Linked DNA regions of Tamandua tetradactyla. The protein of the gene in region 1 interacts with the protein of each later gene in a pairwise test. Links are inferred from orthologs where the notes say so. Each region holds a gene or a part of one and is shown on either strand. Other genes may lie near its edges.

What was found. The genes of interacting proteins can lie anywhere in the genome.
Region 2: the proteins of CCDC102B (region 1) and PPP1R18 interact in binary tests that used the Homo sapiens proteins (3 or more experiments, as listed by UniProt). The two-hybrid records come from large-scale screens. The link is inferred for Tamandua tetradactyla from reciprocal best matches to the Homo sapiens genes CCDC102B and PPP1R18.

The regions. Positions count from the first base shown.
Region 1 is NC_135344.1:13,477,652-13,484,938, reverse strand, and holds the start of CCDC102B (coiled-coil domain-containing protein 102B), read left to right. Parts: upstream 1-4,267; 5' UTR 4,268-4,526; coding exon 4,527-4,543; intron 4,544-6,085; exon of another isoform or gene 6,086-6,450; intron 6,451-7,287. UniProt on the Homo sapiens protein: During interphase, forms fibers at the proximal ends of centrioles to maintain centrosome cohesion. During mitosis, dissociates from the centrosome following phosphorylation to allow centrosome separation. Contributes to CROCC/rootletin filament formation.
Region 2 is NC_135331.1:85,574,055-85,581,136, forward strand, and holds the start of PPP1R18 (phostensin), read right to left. Parts: upstream 3,021-7,082; 5' UTR 2,934-3,020; intron 2,800-2,933; exon of another isoform or gene 2,760-2,799; intron 2,552-2,759; exon of another isoform or gene 2,394-2,551; intron 1,316-2,393; 5' UTR 1,288-1,315; coding exon 1-1,287. Other genes in the region: NRM (nurim), read right to left, coding at 3,813-4,094, 4,448-4,624, 5,214-5,410, 6,022-6,151.

The sequences.
Region 1 (7,287 bases):
TTTTCTTACTTTAAGGGAAAGCCTCTAGAACTTTGCTGGCCAGGGCCAGACCAGCATCTCCACTGTTGATGTGTAGCTTGCATCCTCTAGTCACCGCAGACTTAAAGATTTGAATTATGTACCTGATTTAGATATGTTCTTGATCTTAGTCTGCATTCCTGTGAGTGGGAACCTACTGAGAATAGGATGTTATTTTACTTATGATGTGGTCCAACTGAATGAAGTTGGGTCTTAATCCTGATTACTGTGTCCTTCCTGGGCAGAAGAAATTCACATTTATTCAGAGAAAGCCATGGGGAGGACCCAGAAGCTGGAAGTCAATGGAACCCGGAAGCGAGAGGAAAGGACAAGACATCGTCATGGGATGCAAGTCAGGGACACAAACCAAGGGACCCAAGGTTTGCTGGCAGCCAGCACCAGAATGTTGCAGACTTTGTAGAAAAAGCATTGCCTTGTGACACCTTGATTATGGACTTCTTCTAGGTTCAAAATCATGAGCCAATAAATTCCCATTATTGATGCCAATACCCTGTGTGGTATCTGTGACAGTAATTCAGGAAAGCTAAGATAGCTTCTCTACCTCCAGCCTCCCATCCTTGTTCAAAGAAGGAAGAAGGAGGTGAATGGAAGAGGGAGTGTCAACCATATCAGGAAAGAAAAGTTTTTGCAAACATGCCCATTTTATCAGCTAATATCAGCTAATGTTTACTGGCAGAGCTGTGCCACGTGGCTAAGCATATCTGTATGGGGAGCTGGGTAGTGTAGGTTTTTTTTTTTTTTTTTTCTGACAATGTTGTCCAAACAAAAAACAAAATTCATTCTGTAGGGAGGAAGGGGAGAAATTAGACTGGGTAGGAAAGTAGTATCCACAGGGAGGACCTAATATATAAAATGAATTGCAATCAACTAAAAAAAAAGTGTCAGCTCTTCTTTGGTACCTACTAAGTGCTTTAAGATATCGTGAACTTTTCAACAAATTAAGAAACCTCAAAGGCTGAATTCTCTCATCTCTTTTTCCTGTGCCCCCACCGCTTGTTGTGGAGTATGGAATGTTAAGATAAGGTTGTGTGTGTGTTTGTGTGTGGTGTCAGTGCAGCCTTTGAACTAGGATAGAGGCACTGGATAACTTTGTTTCCCTAATACCCGTGGGTCCCATGATATATATATATATATATATATATAAAATATATTTATATATTTTTCAGCATGGGCAGGCTCTGGAAATTGGACTCAGTCTCTGGCATAGCAGGTGAGAATTCTGCCACTGAGCCACTATTGCACCACCTGGTCCCATGATATTAATCAACAAAAGTTTTTAAACGAGAGTTGGCAATAAGAAATAATAAGCAGTTGCCCTCCTACGCTTTTTGAACCAAAGGGAAATAGGTCATGGGGAATCAATAGCCTTCACTTGAGAAAGCTACAAATGAGACAATGCTTCCTTTTATAGGCAATTTTTTACTCATCAGTAATTTATAAATTTGCCAGTAAAATATTGATATGGTGAGTCAAAAACCTGATCAGTGTGGATTCAGAAGAGATGGGAGGCAATGAAGTGGAGAGAGAGAGAATCAGACAATTCTTTCAAGTTTTACTATAAAGTTGTGTTATTTGAAGAGTGAAGAAGAGTGGGAATTCAGGAATGACAGATAGGTTTCTAGCTTGAAATACTGGGTGGGTGGTAGTGTCATTATTTTATATTGAGAATACAGGACACATAGAGGTTTTAGAAAATATATAATGGGTTTAGTCCTTGGAGATGGTAAAGAGAATTAAGTGGTTCCTAGTGAGTACTCTCATGAGACAGAAATGCAGATCTGAAGCTTGATAAACTGCTTTGGGCTGGTCATGTAGATTTGGGAATTGTATGTATGACAAAAGAAGCCACAAAAACAGATGTGATCACCTGAAGAGAAGATGTGCGTAAGAGAAGGACCAATGATAGACGCTTGGAGCTATTGCACCATCAAAAAGAGAGGCTAGTAATAAAGGATGGTGTTCAGGACCTGAAATGGTTAGTAAGATGGAAACATATAAATCAGAATAGTGTTCTGGTAACCCAAAGAATGTTTTGTGAAGATAAAGCTGTAAATCTAAAACTGTTTAAAAATAAAGTTTATTATGTAAATAAGCTAGCTAACTAATTAAGTAGGAAATCTTCAGAGATTTAGACCAGTAAGAGTACTGGAAATAGGCCACTGAACTAGACTCATACCACTGGAACTACTCTGTAACTTTACTAAAAACAGAGAGGAACAAGTTTGGGGCAGGCAAACAACTCATGAAGACACTGCACTGGTTCAGGCAGAGTATGCTGGTGCCCTGAATCACTGTAGATGGCAGTGGAAAGAGAAAGTACTGAGTAAATTAATGAAGTAAAACCAAAAGACACTTACTGGACATAGAATAGAAGGAGTCAAGGATGACTTCAGGAGTTTTCTTTAAGAAATTGTAAGATTGGCTTGGCCGTATTGATATAAGCACAGCAGGTCCATGGAAAAATTGGTGACTTCAGCTTTAGACTTGTTCACTTTGACATATCTATGGTATTTTCAAGTAGAAGTGTACACTGTGCAGATATATGTAAGTGTGGAACTCTCTGAAGAGGATTGGGTCCAACTGTAGATATTTGGAGTCTTCTGAAAAAGAGATGGCAATTAAAATCACCAGAGGAGGATATGGATTTAGATGAGAACAAGGTATTGATGTACACCAAGGCATGAAAGGAGAAAGGGCACCGCTAAAGAGTGAGAAGACACAGCAAGACTGGTCAAGAGGAAGACCAAGAGAGTATTGTGCCAAGAGAGGGAGTTTTCATCAAAGCCAAGAAAGGAGTGTCTTCTTATAGACTGGTGGTCAACAGCATCAGAGGCTGTGTAGATGCTAAGAGGACTGAGGACAGAGAGGAGTCTATGAAGTATAAAAAAAAAGTGTTTTTTTTTATCCCCCTGTGTGGTGTACGTGTGTATTTTCAGGAAGAGGCATCTTGGTGCAGTGATGGGGGTTGAAAGTAGATTAAATAAGAAGAGCGCTCTTTCAATCATTTGACCATGAAGGACAGGAAAATGGGACCTGGAAGTGAAAATGAGATCAAGGGAAGCCTGTTTTGTTTGTTTTTGGCTGAAGGATTTAACTGTGTCTAAAAATCTCATTGGGAAAATCCAATCAAGAGGGAGCATTCAAAGATACAGGAAAGCTGAGAAGATGGGAGAAAGGGAACCTGAACTCCAAAGGACTGATTGTTTTATACCAAGAATGGTCATCCTTTCCATGGCATCAGAAAAATCAGGAGGGAAGGTAGCTATTCAGAAGAAATAGATGATAGAATTGTTAATCAATGACGACTATTGGGAGAGGACATATATTCTGTCTTTCCAATGCTGTTTTCCTGCTACTTAAAAGAAGCATACTGGTTTCTTTTCCTCTGCCCTCTCCCTATTTCTTTGAGCATTTTCTATTGTTGGTTTTAACCAGGGAAGTTTTCTTTTATGTGGTCTGCCCTCACCCCTTCATCAGTACACTTCCTGACAGCTGAGTCATGTCACTGGAAAAACTACTCTGTTTTTCCCCCAGGGAAAGCAGCCAGAGAGCTCTCACTGGAGGCCCTAGAGACTTGAATTCATAATTCCTGCCAACATGACTGAGATCAAGTGTTTTGACATATAATTTTTGAACCATGATTTGCATATGTGAATATTTTATTAAATGCTGTTTCTTTTTTCCTTTTTGCTGGACAATCAAAACAAAATTAGATCAGGCACATTGCATTTTCTATTATTTCTGTGATCTGCAGTATAATCTTGCTTTAAATCTTTTGCAGATAAGATACTTTAATAGCTTTTCTTTGTTTTGGCATTTTAATTTTTCTATTACAAGTTTTGCCTATTGTTAAACATGAAACAAACTTGTGATTAAAGGTACGGGTCGTTTCTTCCTTTTTCACTCATAGCACATAGTGTCAAATGAATTGAATGAAAAAATTTGGATAACCATGCTTAGTTAGGAGACATTAAAAATGATTTTAATTTGATATGTTCGCTTGTGTTCCAAAAAAGGGTGTTAAGGTATCGGTTGTGATAAATCTTCATAACCAATAGGAATCCTTTTTTGAGTTTCTGTGGAGTGGCCTTAGTTTAGGAAATAATCTCGTTGGCCAGGACCCCAGAGCTATACAGATGAGAAAAGGATGCAGGAAATTCTGTTGTTTACACATGTGTCTGTAACACTGAGACGTTAGAGCAGCCCAGCAAGCCCAGAGGGTAAGAGTGTTTAATAACCTTGTGGTTTTCTATTTAATTTTTATACTTTCCTGCTGGGGTAGAGCATGTGTTGTTTTCTGAGCAAGGAAAAAGACAGTTGCTTATAAGAGGCGGAACAGAACTGCTGTTGGTCTGTGAAACAGAAGGATTGGAATTTCTTTTTAAAGTGGACTTGATCTCATCCCTTACCTTTCCTTTTTTTCCCACTGTTGGTGTTATTTATCCTGACAGCATGTTATATATTTCCTGCCTTTAAAAAATAACTATATGCTAAACAAACTCAGGTAAGAATTTCAACTCTAAATTTAGACAGTAATATAATATGTTGCTATTAAAACCTTGTTTTTAGTTTCAAATGATTAAGGGTTAATAAATGTGTTTGAAGTAATCTGTATTCTTACAGTAAAAAAGTAAAATTGTTATGTAAATCCTCATGTTCATGCTCCATGCACTGAGTTATTTTAATTTTACTATCCTCATGTTGAATTCTTGTCATTGTTAACAGAAAGCTATACTTCAGATTTAGCACTAATATTGATTTCTATACATAAATAACTTGGATATGTGGAAGAGACAGGGATACAAAATAATATCCTACACATCATCTATAGGAAATGGACATTTATATAGAAAACAACTACAGAAATGAAGGGGAAAAATGCTGGAAATCATTGGGAAGTATTTGCTGATGGTTTTGAAAAATAAACTATAACATGAATGTTGAGTAGGTAAGTCTATCAAGTGGAAATATAAGGAAAATATTTTTAAGACAAAAAAATTGCAATTAGAAATATGTAAATAGCATATGACATTGAATACACAATGATGTGCTGGCTATTTTCAGATATATCAACATTGGTTTTTCTTTTTTTCTAAAAACATGGGGATATGTTTTTGATTATCTTTTTGATGGGAGAGGGGTGTTGATAAAATCTTTGATTAGATTTTTTGTGAATAAATCCTTTTGTTTTCAATAAATGTTCTCACAGATACATTAAAATAATCTTGAACTTTGACTTTTTTCCCCATATAAAGGAATCTTGAAAAGCTAGTGATATATTAGATGTATAAACTTCATGTGATTTTGCAACATCATTTTAAACCATTAAAATCTGAACAGTGTTTAGAAAAATTCTTTGTTTTTTGAATTTTTTCAAGAACTCTTGAAGAAATAGTTTTCTTATGAAATAACAGATCATTTCATCATCTCTCTATTGCGTTCTTTATATGTTTACATTGGATTCAGTAATTGCCTGATTGGGGGTGTACCTTCTTGAGAACTCAAATTGACTTGGCCTCAAGTGACTTTATGAGGGTCTTCATCTAAGTCTTTGAGTGACAAGGATAATGCCAATAACTCTTAAAAACATGAAAAATGATCTCAGACCATCTTGATTTAAGTATCATTTCTCCCATTTTGTTATTACAAGGTAATTGGACGCTGCCATAAGGCCAAAATCTTCAAATATTCCCTTTTAGCGTGGATTTTAGGGCTAGAGAAATTTGAGAAGCTATGAAAGAGAGGTCTGACTTCTTGAGGTGAGTCTTGAAAAATCAGTGGAACTTGTATAGCTGATGAGAAGGAAAAAGAATATTCTACTTTGGTGAAGTAGTTAGAGAAAAGGGTTTGAGGCATGAATTTCCATAAAATGGGGAAAGATGGTGAATGATCAGCCGGCTTGGAGAAGAAAATATATATTTCTGCAGTAGCAGGCACTGTGCTAAGTAGCCCGAATGGGGCAAATTTGTGGAGTGTCTTCAAATATACACAGCGTAACTGTCTTTAGATATGAAGTGCCTGTTCCCCTTTTTATCATCATCATCATCATTATGAACATACTTCCCATCTGCAAGTTGACTTGCATACATGTGCATGTTGATTTACATATGTATACATATCTACAGGTTTTATAACTGTGCAGTAAACTGAACATTTCACACATAATCTTCATCTGACACATGAAGGAATCTGTTCAGACACATTAAATGATTTATTTAAACCCACAACTGTAGTAAGTTTTGGAGCCAGGACTCAGAACCATGTCTTCCTGGCTGCAGAGCTACTTTCACTCTACAGCTCTGGTGCCTGAGTGTGAACCTGGCAGAAGTGAAGCGGACTGGTTTGCAATGAGTCTGGGGTAAAAGGGAGGAGGCACAGAGGCCACCATCTGAAGGTGAATCCCAACCCTTGGTAAGTCTGAGCTAGTCACAGTTCTCCGAAGGGGTCCACTACTCTCTTTGGGAAAGAGAGAGAAGTTGATACTGGAAATAAGGAGAGGCTTTTACATTTAAATTAGCTGCTGCAATATTCAACCCTTAGGCTTTTCTCTTATTTTCTTAGATGTTGTATTCAAAGGAGATCTCTTTTGCTGTCTCAACAACAACAAAAAACTGTCTATTATTGATTTTCACTGAACATTATTCACAAATGAAATCAATGAAGTGACTGGGTATGATACTGGGAATACTTTGGGAATACGTTGGTCTTCCTTTGATTGTTTATCATGCTTGATACGAATGAAGACTTAGTGACCATGTGCTCCTAAAATTAAGGAGGGACTAAGTTATTATCAATGAAAAGTATCATATATGCTTTATTTCAATTGGTGAAGAGTATATATAAAATCTGTTTGCAAAGTACCTAATACAGATTATGAGGTATTCAAAGTAAAAATAATATAGTCTATTAACACTTTTCCCCCTTACATATCCAAACCTTAAACATATTAGTTTAGTTTTTCTCAAAGTAAAATAGGACTAGCATCAGAAACAGCAATCAGTTTCTTCTTTTATGTGTCTTAATGTTTCTAATGAAACAAAAATATTGCCTTACCTTACTATATCATGGGATTTTGGGATATATGTGTGCATGTGTATTTGTGTGTTCATCTGTGTGTGTGTATATATATATATAAATGTATATAATACATATATATATAAAGGATTTCAATGCCATCATGTATAAAACCTGCTATCTATTATTTAAACGCCTTCTGTAAGTTAATTAGCCTTCACTGGAGGAATTCAT
Region 2 (7,082 bases), on another chromosome or scaffold:
GGGAGACAGAGGGGCTGGTGGTGGGGGCCGGAGTTCCACCACTTCCTCTTTCTGCTGTCTTGGGCCTCCTCCGGTCCCAGCGTCCTCTGGTGGGAGGGGGGAGGGCACAGAGCAGCGGTTCTGCAGGGTGTTCAGAGACCTGCCCTGAGCCCCCGCCTCCTCCTCCTTCGCGGCCTCCCATTCTCCAGCGTCTACCTCAGGAGGTCCCAGCCTCTTCTCAGCAGACTCTGAAGGTTCTGGTTTCTGCTTTTGAGTCTCTATATCCCTGATTGTCCATTCTCGAGCCTTCCCTGAGTTCAGAGTCCATTTCCACCCTTCTGTCAGCCTCAAACTCCTGTCGCCATCCTCCACTGGGCTTGGCCTCTGTTCTGTGGCCTCCACGCCTCTGGGACTGATGTCAGAAACCTCTCTGGTCAGGATCTCTGAGAGTCCTTTAATCTCTTCTGGTGTTATCCCTGGAATTGGCCTCTCTTCTTTTCTCCCACATTCCTCTGAACAGTTGTTTTTCTCTTCTGAGGTCAGTCTCCACTCTGATGCTTCCAGCTGTACCAAGCTCTCTTCCTGAGACTCTCTAGAGTCAGGCCTCCATTTATGGGTCTCTATCAGACCCAACTTCTGGATACCAGGCTCCCCGGGGCTCAGTCTGCTTTCCACCACCTCTGTTCTCCTGGGGCTTTGCTCTTGAGGATCTGCCAGTCTCAGACTCCGCTCTGGAGTCTCTCCAGGGCTCAGTCTCCATTTCTGCACCTCTAATAGACGGGAGCTCTCTCCTGGGCTCTGCCTCCAGTCCCGAGCCTCTGAAGGCCTGGGACTAGACTCTCGGGCTCCCCCTATACCCAACCTCCTCTCTCTGGTCTCCCTGGGACTGAGCCTCTCTTCTCTGGACTCTCTTCCTTTGGGGCTATGATCCCGAATCTCCCCAGGGCTGGATCTCCGCTCCTGGGCCTCAGCAGGCCTTCTCTCTGCAAGCAGCTCTTCAATCCGCTGCTGCTGCTGCTGCTGCCTCTCCTGTCGGATAAATCGATTCTGATGCACTGGACCGATGGCCTCCAGGAGGACAGCAGACTCGTCTGGGTCTGGAGGTCCCGCCTCTGCAGTTTCCGGTGCAGGGCTAGGCTCCCCAGGGGCAAGCCCAAGCTTGGCCCTGCGGCGTTCCAGGAGCCCCCTCTTCCAAGCTGGCATCTGGGAAAGGCGCTCCCTCTCCGCCTTCTCCCGGCCACGCACTGCTGCCTCCTCTTGCCGGCGCCGGGCTAACAGCTGTAGTTTCCAGTCGGGGATGGTGGTCATGGTCGCTTTAGGGTGAAGGTGGGAAACTCTGGGGGCAGAGGACAGGAAGAAGAGTTGGTGAGAAAGGCCCCGGGGGAGAGAGGGGGGTGGTGGTGAGAGGAAGTGGGGGGGGGGTAAAGTGGGAGACAGAGAAGAGGACAGGGACTGAGGGTGAGGACAGAGGGAAAGAGGGGAAGGGTAGAGAAAGGGAAAAAATTGAGAAAGTGCGAATAAAAAGATATGTGCCAAGTTGGGGTGGAAGGGAAGGGAGGTGAGAGGAAGAGTCGAGATTCTGGGCAAAGAGGGAGGAGTCAGATTTGGTAGCAGAAGGTTAAAGGGTATTTAAGTTCGGATGTGGGAGAGAAAAGGGAGGGTAAAAAGATAAGTTGGGGTAAAGGAGAGAGGCAGATCAGAGAAAAGAGAGGTTGGAAGTGAGGCGGGGAGATTGCTCAGGAGAGGCCGCCTCACCGCTACCCCGGGGGGAGGTGAGAGTGGAAACCGAGGTTAAAGAATCCCGCGAAAAGGGAGCGACGGGACCTGAGTAGGGGGTGGGGATGGGTATCCGGGAGATGAGGAGGGGTCTGAGAGTGCAGAGGTCTAGGGGGTAAGGGGAAATCAGGTGATAGAGGGGAAAGGCGTTTCAACGCGGCCCCAAAGCTCGCGGCTCCCCTTCCAGCTCCGCGCGGGCCACGCCCCTCGGCCCCCACCCCCCACCCCCCCCCAGCCCCGCACTCCGCCCCCGAGGCGGGCCAGGGGAAATACCCTCCCGGGGGACTCTCCGAACCCGGTCAGCGGATCTGCCGGCGTGTTCCCAGAACCCAGGTGTCCACCCCCACCCCGTTGGGTCACCACCGCCTGCCTCCCCAGCTGGCCGCGCCCGGGGGACCCAGGCGTGCCGAGGACGGGCTCCGCGCCTCTTCCCTCCAGATCCAGCAAGTCCTGGGCCCCGGTCCCGGCTCAGGGAGCCCGGACACAGCCGCCCATCCCCACCCCACCCTGTCCACCGCACAGACAAGACAATCTCGGCACAAAGAGGAGACAGTCCGAGGGCCGGGCCGGGGACGAAAGCGGGCACCGGGACGAGGAGACACTCTCTCCCCAAGTCTGAAGCCCGCAAATCAACTCACACGGCCGCGGGGCTCCCGGAGGAGGGGGATGCGGAGAAGTCAGGCGTCCGGAGAGGAGGAGAGGAAGAGGAGGAGAGAGGGAGAGAGGGAGATCCGGAGACGGGAAGGAGGGGAGGAGGGGGAAAGGAGGAGGGAAAGAAGGAGCAGAGGAGGAGGGACGAAGACAGAGACCTGGGGGCCGGGCGGGGGGCGGCGACCGCTTTGTCTGAGGACAATGGGGAGAGGGAAGGGGGTGCGGAGCGGAACCAGAGGAGGGGGCGGGGCCTGGCTGCCCCAGCCCGGGCGGTGGGAATTCGCTTCGGGTCTCCCCTCTTCCCGCCCCAACCCCTGGCCCTCAGCTCTCTGTCCTCTGGGGTCCTCACCCACCCCCACGACCCGTAGCCCTGGAGGCTCCAGTTCGCCGACCCAGGGCGGCGGCCTGTGACTCAGGCCCCTCGAGGGACTTGGGGAGGAAGCGGCAGCTGCTCTGAGCCGGGCCCGCCCTTCCCATCTCCCGCCGCTCCTCCCCACGCCTTTGCCTTCCCCGCCAGCCTTTGTTACTGTGGGGTCGAGGGCCGCTGCCGCCGGGCTGTAGGAGGCCTGCTGGAGACCGGGGTAGGGCGCGGGAAGGCGGAGAGGGAGGCGCCCAGAAGCCAACGGCTTTGGAAGCTCACTCCCCTACCAAAGTCGCGGTCCCCTCTTTTTAGCCTCAAATCGTGCCCTATGCGTCCTATGGTCTGCAGCAGGGGAATTGGGGGCGCTCCAGAAAGGTGGGGGCCGGTCTGCGGGGAGTGGCCGCCGCCCAGCGGTCGCCTCAGGGCGCGGTGGCCGCCCAGACCCGCGATTGGCGCGCCCAGGTTCCAACTCGCTTTCCTTCCCAAACCCAGCCCTGCAACCTGAGAGCCACTGACAGACAGCACACCAGATGTAGAAGTCAGGCTGAATTTTATTTTACTGCAGCACGTGTTCCTTGGAAGGGCGGGGAGCCTTAAATCACTGGAATTAAGAACCGGAGAACTCCTACCAGGTCGCCGGAGGTGGAGGTGGGCGGGGCAGGGGATGGAGGTGAGGCTGCCAGGCTCTGGCCCAGCCTCTTGGGGGCAGAAACAAGAAGTGGAGAAGGGGAGGCACTGAGGCAAATAACTGTGCCAGGGGAGTGGTCAGGAAGATATTTTCCCTTGTGGTGATGCTGGAAGGAAAGGGAATCAAGCGCTAAACCTTGAGGGGACAGATGGGTTTCACGCCCTCTCTTCCAGGCTGGGGAGAAGTGGACCTACTGAGTCCAGTAGCTGACACTCAGGATTTAGGGTATAGAGTTGGAGCCTAGCTAGTGGAATCTCAAAAAGGGGAATGGACAGTCCCTGTCTAGCATTTGGATATTAAGGAACTTAGAATTCAAAGGGAGAAGATGTACAGGGCTTAGAAACAGAAGTTAGCTCCTCATTCAGCCTCCCCATCCTGGGGCCTGGAGAGTAGGTGGAGTTTTCTTTTTAGCTGGGCCCGGAGGTAGCAGAGATCCTGCTGGTCGAGCCCATGAGCTAGGCCCAGGTAGAGGGTGAGGAGGAGAGCAAGGAGGAGGCGGTCGGCGCCCAGGGTAGGCACCACCCACAGCACAGTCAGGAGCTCCACACACACTGGATGGCGCAGGTGGGAGAAGAGTCTCAGAGCTCTGGGGGACTTCAGGGACAGTGGCTCGCCCAGCCCTAACACATGGTAGTACACCTAGGAGAGGGACAACAGCTTAGAAATGAAGTCAAGCCTCTTTCTCTACTTAGCCCCCTTTCCCTCACCTCCTCCTAGAACTCAGGCCCAGATACCCGGCCCCCTAGCCCTCACCCTTCTCAGACTTGGGTATCTCTTGGGTATCTCTTACTTCTCCACGCCCAGGAGGACCATGGCTAACCTTTGATGGAGTGTTGAGGGAAGACTATTAAAGGAAAGGGAAAGAGAAGTGAGGGAGTTGCAAGCAAGGGGAAGGCGGTAGAGCTTGGAAGAAGGGGGAGTGAAACCCTTGAATGGGGAAGAGGAGTTTTTGAAAGGGGCAGAGGCCTTGGGTAGGGATCTAGAAGCTTCACCTGTTTGAGGCCCATGAGCTCAGCGTAGTCAAAGACGAGAAGGATGCTGAAAATGAGGAGCCAGGAAATGACGTGGAGCACAAAGCAGAGGAGGGGCACCCAGGTAGCCCACGGCTCAGCCCGAGCTTCCCATAACACAGGACCTCTGGGTACAGGCTCCCAGTACCGCATCACCAGCTGGGGAAGGATGAGAAGTTGGCATTCCAGCAGCCTGCTCCTGAGAGACTCAGACTAACCCCCACTCCAGGATGGCCTGCAGCTCTCCCCAGCCCCCATCGCGAGCATCACCAACAAATATTAACCATGGGGCGGGGACTGGGTGGGGTCCCAAGGATATAAGGATAATCTGTCTCTACCAAGAGGATTTACGGAATAGGTGGGGATGATCAGAGACAGATACGAAGTAGCCTACACCAAGCACTCAGAGAGAAGGCACATGAACACTAACTGGGAAGCCTTTCCTTGAGACCTAGGGAAATGGGTAGTGAAGAACCAGTAGAACTGAAGAGGATTTAGGGATGGGGATCCCAAGCAGGGGACAACAAAAACAAAGTTGCAAAAGTGAGAATGCACATATTGTGTTTGGGGAAGGACATGCACACCCTTCTAGATAAAAAGCAGGATATTATGCTGTGGAGGAATGAGAGCTGAGATTAACTGCTGAACACCAAATTTCATCCTGAAGCCTAGGGTTCTTGCCCCTCCTACCAGGCTGCCCCTCCCACAGACTGTTCCCTTAGGGAACTTTGCTGCCAGGCTCTCATACCTGCAAAGCCAGGGCAGTGCATGCCACATACAATGACCTCTGCAGGACCCCAAAGTACCAGGACGTCCACGCCTTCACTGTCTCTGTAGCCATGAGGCTATGCTGCCCCACAAATAGTAGTAGGAGCCCCAGATTCTGAGCCAGGGGGGCAAGGATGCTGTGGTCCTGCAGGGCAGCCAGCCATCCCTGGCGGCCATCTAGGGGGTGTGGAGAAGAAAGGGACAAAAAGATCAAGAAGATTGGTGGGAAATACCTCTACTCTCATCTCCTCTTGGGGTTGGGGATTGGGGGGTGGGGGGGTGGACAATGTCCCGTAATGCTTTCCAGAGCCTTAATGCCTCCTCTCCAGGCCGTGCCCATCTCACTTTTCCATTCCCTGTTTCAACCCTCTTCCTCCGGCCTCGTTCAAAACCGGGGAAGAGGATTCACAGAAAAAAAAACGCATTTTGGGCAGTTACTAAAGGCATGGATGGAAGTTCAGCCCTGTATTGCCCCTCTTATTTCAGTTCTCCAAACGCTACCTCTTTTGAACACTCTCCCCTTTACAAAATCCTTTTCTTAGAAAACGCTAACAAGACTTTTATCGCCCTTTCCCATTCCTCTTCCCTCCCGGCCTCTTCAAACAGCTTATCCCCAAATTCCAAATTTAGTCCTCTGGTCCTGCTCCCCTGCAGCTTCATCGCGGCTTTCAGGGTAGCATTGCTCCTGCGGACTTCCCCTCGGTCATTTGCCTGCAGGCCCCGCCCCGCGCCCGCTCCTCCGGCTCCGCCTCCCTACCCCCAAGCTCGGCCTCGTCCCTCCCGCTCACCCGGACCAGACTCCGGGAGCCCGCCAAGAAGTGGCCGAAGGGAGGTGAAGCGCACGAACTCCACTCCAGTGCCAAAGGCCAGGATGAAAGAGGCAAGAGCAGCAGGGACCAGGAGCAGTGCAGGGGCCATGGCGAGAGGTGGAGAGGCGGGGTAAGGGGCGGGCCCAAGATTCCCGCGGCCGTCGGCCCCGCCCCCGCGCGGTATCCCGCCCAGGAGGGCGGAGTGCCTGCGCGCAGTCGTCTGGGCTTCCGGCGCGTCTCGCGCCGCTTCCCACCACTAGGTGGCAGGGCTGGTGCTGGAGTGTTTTGCCAGAGCCTGTCAACTTGGCGTCCGCAAAGGGTAAGATAGATACTAAGTGGAAAGTAAAAAAGGGCAGCGGCTCTTCGGCCAGTCGTGGGTTGAATCTCAGCTCCGTTACGTTTTCCATCTAAAATGAAGACATTTCCTCTCTTGCATGGTTGTGGTTGAAACAGCACACGCAAGCCTCCTTCTCTTTAACTTAGCCTTAGCTAGAAAACAACCAGAGTCAGAGGTTACAAACCTGGGTTGGCAGTTTAGTAATGAACAAGGAGAGAACAGAAGATTGTTGTCCCAGGCTGACTGTCTGAGAACCCAGGCTCTGAATCACCTATTGTATAGTGTTAGAATAAAAAAAGTTATTATTCTATCACAAAATAAATTAATGCTTATTCTGTAACTTAATATAAAATTGAGTTGTTACTCCTCCACTTTCTAAGAATGGCCAATAACTCATATGTGATACTCAAAGCTTTGTTCTCATAGTTCTGAAGACTGTTGGCTTGTAACCATGAAAGCCAAAATACGTTATCTGTGAGTGATTTGAACAGTGAATAAAAAAGTATTTGCAAAGTCCCCTTGGGGAAATGGTGAGAAAGGGGGAAAATTCACCTTCCCCAAGTGGAGAATTCTTGATATTCTCACAAGCAGTGGGGACAACCAAAGCAATAGGCTGAGCCCTCAATCTTGGGGTTTGTTCATATGAAACTTAACCCCAGAAAGTATAGGCTAAGCCTACTTAAAGTTAGGCCTGAGTCACCTC